2 linked regions of the Tribolium castaneum genome follow. The protein of the gene in region 1 binds, or shares a complex with, the protein of each later gene. Links are inferred from orthologs where the notes say so. Each region holds a gene or a part of one and is shown on either strand. Other genes may lie near its edges. The genes, in order: WD repeat-containing protein 48 homolog and Usp12-46.

Region 1 (4,259 bases):
AAAACCTCCAAAATTGCCGGAACTGAATCCGCCACTTCCGCCTCCGCCGCTGCCGCCGCCACTGGCGAAGAATCCTCCAGAGTGTCCTCCTCGTCCTCCGCTGCCGCCAGAACCGCCACCGCCGCCACTTGAGAAACCACCTCCGCTAGAAAAACCGCCTCCGTGGCCTAGAGATCCGGTGTGGATGGTGCGAGCGGTGTAAACACTTGAAGTGGCCACGCTGCCACCCCCATGACCGCCGCCGCCGCCGCCTCCGCCTCCACCTCCGCCCCCATACAGAAACCCTCCCTTAACGCAACTTATCGCCACGATGGCGAAAACGGCAACGAACTTAATATTGATTAATTATTATTAATTAATAAATTTCATTAAGGACTTACCAAATGATTCATTCTGAAACAGTGACGAATGAATGGTACCCCATGATTTATATAGTGATTATTTGAAACGTGATACCATTCTTGCACTTGTTTCAATATAACACCATGGTTAAGATCAGTTACTTCTTACCAACGTTGTGCACAATTTAGGGGTCAAATGTAAAAGTGACCTATTTACAATAATTTAAGCTTAGGTACCCGATTTTAATTAATAGAGTGGAATGAAATCTTTAGAAATCTTACGTAAGAATTGTTACACGCACGCGGAAATTAAAATAATTGCTGTGGTACCTAAATCTGCGACTGGTTCTAGAAAATGTTAATGCGTTCAAATATTTGGCAATGTTTTAAATATCAAATAAATAATAATTTCCAAATAAATAATTCTAAATAAATTATTAGAAAAAAAATTTACAAACGGAAAATGTAAATAGGTATGAAGACGACAAATTCAGAAAGTGATTCCAAAAGTAAATATCAATTTTTTACATTCTATTTTAAAGTCCAATCTATCGCAAGAATATCAGAAAAAACCGAATAACTTTTAGAAAAAAACCACCAAATGATAGTCAAGATTCTTGATCTTTTAAAATTCCTAGAAAACAAGTCAAAAATTCATATTAAATTTTCGATTGACGCGTTAATGAAGCGTTCTGATTGGTTCAATTTAGTCATGTGATCACTTATGTAATGAATATTAATTTACAATGACGCTGCTCTAAACCGGTACAAAATTACAAAAATGTTATGGTTATTGTGACGGATGGTCTAGAGTTGAATTATTACTGAAACACAAAACTTTTCGCATTTTTTTAATCATTGCCCCCTAATTACGTGCCGCCACTGCGCTGGCTTCCCAAATGTCAAAATAAAGTCAGACCGTTCTAACCTCAAGTTTTTACAAAGCTTTTCAAAAAAGCTTTTTTTACACTAATCACGCCAATTTATAGCCCATTTCTTTAAATAAAAAATGCCACATTGCTAAACTTCCAAAAAATGGCAAATCTGAAGCCAGGCGGGCAAAATCCGCGAAAAAAAGTCCAGGTTAGTTGTTTACATTCTGTATTTACAAAACAGTTTTTTGCAACAATCTTGGCCAGGTATCAATGGTAATTTGCGAAGCTGAGGAGAAAAGACACAGATCTGGGGTAAATGCCCTTCAGATAGATCCGGCATTAGACCGTTTGTATTCTGCTGGGAGGGACTCAATTATTAGGGTGTATGAACATGAGCGCTATTTACACGGAATGGAGCACCATACTGATTGGGTTAATGACATAGTTCTGTGTTGCGGAGGCCGGCACTGTATTACTTCCCCTTTCGTTTATTTTTTCCTGAATATATTTTTATAGTAATCTCTGCAAGTTCTGACACTACTGTTAAAGTATGGAACGCCCACAAGGGCTTCTGCATGTCAACTCTGCGAACACATAAAGACTATGTGAAAGCCTTGGCTTACGCCAAAGACAGAGAACAAGTCGCGTCTGCAGGTCTTGATAAATCCATTTACTTGTGGGACATCAACACCTTAACAGCACTAACAGCGAGCAATAACACAGTCACTAGTAAGTCCAGAATGTTGTAATACACACACTCACACGAATTCTAATAGCTTCTAGTTTGATGGGCAGCAAAGAATCAATTTATAGCCTAGCAATGAACCCTCCAGGCACTGTTATAGTAAGCGGATCCACCGAGAAAGCCCTCAGGCTTTGGGACCCGCGAAATTGCGTCAAGTTGTTTAAGTTAAAAGGTCACACTGATAACGTTAAGGCTTTAGTTGTGTCAAAAGATGGCACTCATTGCATTTCTGGCAGCAGCGATGGGTCCATCAAAGTGTGGAGTTTAGGGGGCCAGAGGTGTATCCAAACAATCAGAGTGCATAGCGACTCCGTTTGGGCACTTCTGGCCACGGAAAATTTCACTCATGTAATCTCCGGTGGTAGGGACAAGAAGGCAATGATTTTGCACGTTATTTTGAAAAATTTTACCAAATAACTTCCAGGTGATAATGACTGATCTGAAAAACCCCCAGAACAGCGTTGTGGTCTGTGTGGAGGAGGCGCCAGTGCTCAAAATGTGCTTCACGGCAGACCAGCAGGCTGTCTGGGTTAGTAATTTTTTTTTGCATCAGATTTCTTAAAGATTTCCCAATTCCTCAACATTTTCTGTTGTTATTAATACTCAAGGTACAAACAGCTGAACAAAGTTTTTGTAGTTCCAACATTTCTCTTTTTTTATTGTTATTTGGAAGCACATGAGGCAACATTTTTTTTCTATTTATGTTTCGTTTCCCGTTCACGCATTTTATTGTCTGTTATTTATAATTTTTCTTGCTTTCGGGTTTACCTAGGTGTCAACTTCCAACTCCAGCATTCGCTGTTGGAAGTTGCCAACCGAGAAACACTTCAAAGAAGAGGCCAAAATGCCGACATCGCCCATTTCGCTGATACCAGGCGGTGCTGCGATACGTCAGGCCGTCGTTCTCAACGACAAGAGACACATTTTGACCAAAGATGCCAACGATAATGTCGCTCTTTACGACGTTTTGCGTGCGCGAAAAATCGAAGACCTAGGCCAAATCAATTTCCAAGACGAAATAAAAAACCGATTCAAAGTAGTTTACGTCCCGAATTGGTTCAATGTTGATTTAAAGACTGGAATGCTGACGATTCATTTAGGACAGGACGAAGTCGATTGCTTCTCGGCCTGGGTTTCGGCCAGGGATGCGGGAATCAGGGACTGTCCAGACCCCGACCAAAAAGTAAACTACGGAAAATTGCTACTGCAAGCACTGTTCGAGCATTGGAGAGGCGTGGAGAGAGACCCCGAAAATAAACTGTACTTCTCAGTACCCAAACATATACCCTTGATTTTGAGGTAAATAAAGCCTCAAATGACAAATTGCCGTAATATTTTTTGTAGTGAAGTGGGCGGGCGCACGCTTTACCGGGTCTTGGTGGGCGACACAGTCGGAGACACCGAAAATGCGCTCCTGAACGAAACAGTGCCTAATTGGGTTATTTCCATTATTGAGGAGAACAGTACCGGGAAATTCATCAAAGTGCAGTTTTACCTTCAGCCGCACTCTTCGGTCCCGTCTCATTTATTGAAACAAGACAGACTGAAAAAAGTAGCTATTTTTTTTGGTTTAACACTCCTTGAAGTTGTTTTTTCAGCCCGATAGATTGGTAGCCAATGATTTTATCCAGTGTCGCAAAGTTGCCGAACATATTTTGGAGAAATTACTGGGGGATGGAAACGCAAGTTCTCCCGGAGGTGACGCCGATTCGACCACTCCCAGCGGCAACGGGTACAACGTTGATCAAATTGAACTGACCTGCAATGACCAAGTCCTGGACCCAGCCATGGACTTACGAACCGTTAAACATTTCATCTGGAAATCTTCGGCAGACCTGACGCTGCACTACAGGATTGTCAACCCCAAATAATTCATTCCTTACACTTATTTATTTATCCATGATTTTGGTGGACAGATTTATACTAGTTTCTTGTAATCAAACATTTAGCAGTATATGTTTTTCGTATTTGTTTGCAATAAAAATATGTAACACGAAAAATTAAAATAAATTTATTTAAAAAACTTTGACTTGTCATTTTCCCTGTCACATCCGTCTTGTGATCAAAATTGAAAATGTGTTACTTGCCCAACGTGCCTGAAAAGCTTTTCTCAGGCTTCAGCGTTTCAAATTTTTTCCCGCAAGACCCTCTGTGGAAGGAGTTCATCGAAGCGCGTTTGCCTATTTTTTGGATAATCGGACCGTCTTTCTCCGGGAAAACGAGCCTTGCTCACATTTTGACCGAAATTAGTAACTTTCACATGCTCCGTTTGCAATTTCTTTCGTCAATCACGACCGA
Region 2 (4,445 bases), about 2.1 Mb from region 1:
CGTTTACGAACACGACTATGAAATCGTTGTTTTTAAGAGTGAACAGAATTTTACTGAATAGGGTTTACTTCTATTTTTTTGCTTAATAAAATACAACACTTGACGCTTATTTAAACAATATTTTTAACACTTATTTTGTAGCTTCTGGATTCACTTTATAATGACTCTCAAATTTTTTATTCTTGTTATTACGATTTTCCTTATTTTCTTCGACAATGCTCACGCTTCTATTCCTATTGCTATGAATACTTGGTGGTTTGATCAAGCTGCGGTAAATGGTAAAGTCGCTTTATTTTTGCAATTTTTTTTTAATTATGTTACTCATTTGTCAGCATTTTTAACTTTGCAAGAGGCTCATTCGACCGCTGTGGACGCTGTAGTAACCGGATGTTCCACTTGCGAAGAACTGCAGTGTGACCACACTGTTGGGTATGGGGGAAGTCCCGACGAAAACGGGGAAACTACCCTTGACGCCATGATATTTGACGGGTTCGTGTACATTTACATTTCATAATTGTTTCCTAATTATATAACAGCACCACAATGAATATGGGGGCTGTTGGTGGTTTGAGAAGAATCAAAGACGCGGCACTTGCCGCAAAAATGGTTCTACAGCACACAAAACACTCATTTCTTGTGGGTGATTTAGCGACTGAATTTGCAAAAAATTTCGAACTGCATGAAGAGAATTTATCTACGAATTATTCCACAAACGTGTGGAAGGAGTGGAAGTCCAGAAAGTGTCAGCCCAACTTTTGGCAGGTACTTACAACACTTTATGATTTTTAATATGATTATAGTGTTAAATCAGAATGTAAATCCGGACCCTACGAAATCATGCGGCCCTTACCAAGCCGATTCAAACGAAATCCTGGCAGATGAGCCATGGAAAATTTTTAATTCCGATAACCATGACACAATTGGCATGATTGCCATAGATGAGTGTGGGAACGTTGCAGCGGGGACTTCAACGAACGGAGCCAGTCACAAAATCCCAGGGTATAATGTTAAACGCTCTCAATCGGTTTAATTGATTTTTTCAGACGTGTCGGGGATTCCCCCATACCTGGGGCGGGCGCGTACGCCGATAGCACAGTCGGGGCGGCTGTGGCAACAGGCGATGGCGACGTAATGATGCGATTTTTGCCCAGGTTCTTTTTTAATAATTATTTTCAAATATTAATGCTTGTGATAGTTTTTTGGCAGTGGAGGAGATGAGACGCGGCGCCTCGCCTGCGAAAGCAGCCCAAACGGCCATCGATAGAATTGCGGAAAAATACCCCGATTTTTTCGGGGCTGTTTTAGTGAGCACTAACAAGGGGGAATTTGGGGCTGCCTGTAACGGAATGGATTCGTTCCCGTTCTGTGTGGCGAGCGAAGCGCTCGGTGGAGTGGTCGTGAAGACAGTTAATTGCACCAAAAAGGCATGAAAGCTGTTATTGTAATTACTTTATTCAAAATAAATAAATTTGGATCGATTTTTGTTCGTCTGTTGTCCTTTTTCCTGCGTCTCTCTGTCTTTAAGTGTTGGGGAAATTCGGTATCGCGATGTTTGTGGGCATGTCGCCTGTCACTTTCTGTTATCATGGGTTGTTTTACAGCTGTCAAAATGCAATAATGGGGAAGTTTTGTGATTTAAAAGTATTGTTTTTGGACGTTTTTAACATAAACGTGATGGATTAGTTATTAAAATATGGTAAGTGCAAAGGCCACGAGAGAGGTTACCGCAAACCGAGCCCAACTTTCGAGTCAAACATGAACTAACCACAATTTAATAATGTCACTGTGTCATAATTAATTATTTTATTGAGTTAATTGTATTTTAATCAATTGTAGGGTGCGAATATATCCCAGCTGGAACGAGATATCGGCTCTGAACAGTTTCCTTCTAATGAACATTACTTTGGTTTAGTAAATGTGAGTTGCTGAGCTTGGGTGTTTTCCCACTGACTTGTGCTGTTGCAGTTTGGAAATACGTGTTATAGTAACTCGGTTCTTCAGGCTCTATACTTCTGCAAACCTTTTAGAGATAGAGTTTTAGAGTACAAAGCGAAAAATAAGAGGACTAAAGAAACTTTGCTTACATGTCTTGCAGATTTGTTCCACAGCATTGCGACGCAGAAAAAGAAAGTAGGCTCTATTGCACCAAAAAAATTTATAGCAAGGCTACGAAAAGAAAAAGGTTTGTTGGCATGTTTTTTTAAACCGGTGTTTTTACTTGAGTCTTGTAGAGGAGTTTGATAATTACATGCAACAGGATGCACATGAATTTTTAAATTTTTTAATCAACCATATTAGTGAAATAATTCTGGGTAAGTCGCGTTCTTTAGTAATGCTCCCTTGACTTACAATAAATTACAGCTGAAAGACAACAAAACTCAACCACAAACAACATAAAATCAAAAGCAACGGGAGAAAATGGAACTGCACACACAACTCCTGAGCCCACTTGGGTACACGAGATTTTTCAGGTACTGTTGTTCGATTTGTTGGGTTAAAACTCACAAATTTTTTATTCCATGTAGGGTATATTGACAAGTGAAACTAGGTGTTTGAATTGTGAGAATGTGAGCAGTAAAGATGAAGACTTTTTTGATTTACAAGTGGACATCGAACAGAACACTAGTATAACTCATTGTTTGAGGTGTTTTAGTAATACAGAGACTCTGTGTAGCGATAATAAATTTAAGTGTGATAACTGCAGTAGTTACCAGGAAGCTCAAAAACGAATGAGGGTGAAGAAACTGCCGATGATTCTTGCATTGCATCTCAAGAGGTTCAAGTACATGGAACAGTACAACAGGCACATTAAGGTCTCACACAGAGTTGTGTTTCCTTTGGAACTGAGACTTTTCAACACAGTAAGCAATTTGTTTAAATACCACCAGTTAACTAATTACTTGAGCTTTTGCACTCTTAATAGACTAAAATTTTCATAAGAAACATGAGAGAAAAATTATTCAAAATTTGCGCTTCGTTCCGTGTTTTTCAAAACACTGCGAATACGGTTAAAGATAAATGTCCGAGATTTTAATAATTTGAGTTTGAGCTACAGTTTAATTGTGTTTTCAGTCGGACGATGCAGTTAATCCCGACCGATTATACGATTTAGTAGCTGTTGTGATACATTGCGGAAGCGGACCTAACAGAGGCCACTACATCAGTATAGTCAAGAGCCACGGTTTCTGGCTGCTGTTTGACGACGACCAAGTTGACGTAAGTTTAGTGCGTATTTGAGAATTCCCGATGGTTATTATTGTGCTTTTGAATAGAAAATAGACGCTTCAACAATAGAAGATTTCTACGGCCTCACGTCTGATACTCAAAAGTCTTCAGAAACAGGCTACATCCTTTTTTACCAGTCTCGAGAGAGTTTATGAACTCTGCTGCTCCTTGCCTTAATCATTGAGAGGATTTAATACAAGTACAAAGTCACCTCTCATTGCATTGGGACGGGTAATGTTTATGAAAAAAGTCTGTAAATATGATTTGAAACTGAAAATTGTTGGATTTATATTTTATTTATTGCATATTGTAGTTTCCGGCCGTACTTTTTTCCTAAAATTTTTCTTTCAAAGCGATTTACCCGTACTTTTCGAAACGAATCGACGTTGATTTTGTTGTTCTGTTGCAATAAATAGCGATATGTTGAAAACAAGATTTACTTTATTGTGGTGGAACAGCATAGGAATAATTGACTGTATGGTGAATTTTACTTGTTTACTTAATTTGTTTTTTACAAACCTTATATTTATTCCAATTAGCAATAATTCTTAGGTGGTAACCAAACCGTGCATCTAATTTAGCGAGTATTATGTCCCCTACACGGTAAAAAAGTAAAATTCACTCTTCTTATTTTGTTAACAAATACTATACAACTTTTAAATATTATATGAGAAACTAGAACATACTGTATAAATGCTGCTAAGCAGATTTTATTTTTATTCTGTAAATATTCGTTAGATATAAATATATTTGAAAAAATGCACTGACTCGTTTCATTTCAAACACCCAAATTTGTTTTATGTCTTTATTACACAAAAGGCGTACAAATTAAGCAATAAATTCATATGGGATAGGAGCCAATTGAACGGCTGGTACTTTCCCACTGACGATGTGTGCAGGCCTTGGCTGTGCTGGCTGTCTCTTCAAATTCACTCGAATGTTCTTCTCCTTAGCTTCTTTTCGCAATTTTTCGTTTTGTTTCACTCTGGTCAAGAAGTCTTGCCTGCACTTGGAGTGATTCACGTGCTCAATACGGATATTGATACGTTTGGGGATAATACGGCCCCCAACACGCTTGTTAACAATCACACCCAAAGCGTGAGCCGTCACATTGAACACACGGCCAGTTTTCCCATGGTACACCTTGTAGGGCATGCCCTTCTGAACGGCTCCATTGCCCTTAATATCCACGATATCGCCGACTTTGTACACTTTCATGT

Evidence for each region.
Region 2: WD repeat-containing protein 48 homolog (region 1) and Usp12-46 share a complex: the UniProt entries of both Drosophila melanogaster proteins name them as parts of the usp12-46 deubiquitylase complex. The link is inferred for Tribolium castaneum from reciprocal best matches to the Drosophila melanogaster genes CG9062 and Usp12-46.

The regions. Positions count from the first base shown.
Region 1 is NC_087402.1:5,165,392-5,169,650, forward strand, and holds the start of WD repeat-containing protein 48 homolog, read left to right. Parts: upstream 1-1,171; 5' UTR 1,172-1,376; coding exon 1,377-1,424; intron 1,425-1,480; coding exon 1,481-1,685; intron 1,686-1,732; coding exon 1,733-1,945; intron 1,946-1,992; coding exon 1,993-2,336; intron 2,337-2,385; coding exon 2,386-2,490; intron 2,491-2,733; coding exon 2,734-3,260; intron 3,261-3,305; coding exon 3,306-3,513; intron 3,514-3,559; coding exon 3,560-3,832; 3' UTR 3,833-4,035; coding exon of another isoform or gene 4,036-4,259. Other genes in the region: uncharacterized protein LOC107397745, read right to left, coding at 1-330, 381-392; adenylate kinase isoenzyme 1, read left to right, coding at 4,036-4,259. UniProt on the Drosophila melanogaster protein: Regulatory component of the Usp12-46 deubiquitylase complex. activates deubiquitination by increasing the catalytic turnover without increasing the affinity of deubiquitinating enzymes for the substrate.
Region 2 is NC_087402.1:3,059,099-3,063,543, reverse strand, and holds Usp12-46 (ubiquitin carboxyl-terminal hydrolase 46), read left to right. Parts: upstream 1-1,550; 5' UTR 1,551-1,693; coding exon 1,694-1,696; intron 1,697-1,836; coding exon 1,837-1,917; intron 1,918-1,965; coding exon 1,966-2,182; intron 2,183-2,231; coding exon 2,232-2,312; intron 2,313-2,361; coding exon 2,362-2,471; intron 2,472-2,525; coding exon 2,526-2,861; intron 2,862-3,072; coding exon 3,073-3,216; intron 3,217-3,272; coding exon 3,273-3,380; 3' UTR 3,381-3,988; downstream 3,989-4,445. Other genes in the region: N(4)-(Beta-N-acetylglucosaminyl)-L-asparaginase, read left to right, coding at 161-278, 333-489, 537-762, 812-999, 1,044-1,151, 1,196-1,430; RpL21 (large ribosomal subunit protein eL21), read right to left, coding at 4,054-4,445. UniProt on the Drosophila melanogaster protein: Catalytic component of the Usp12-46 deubiquitylase complex.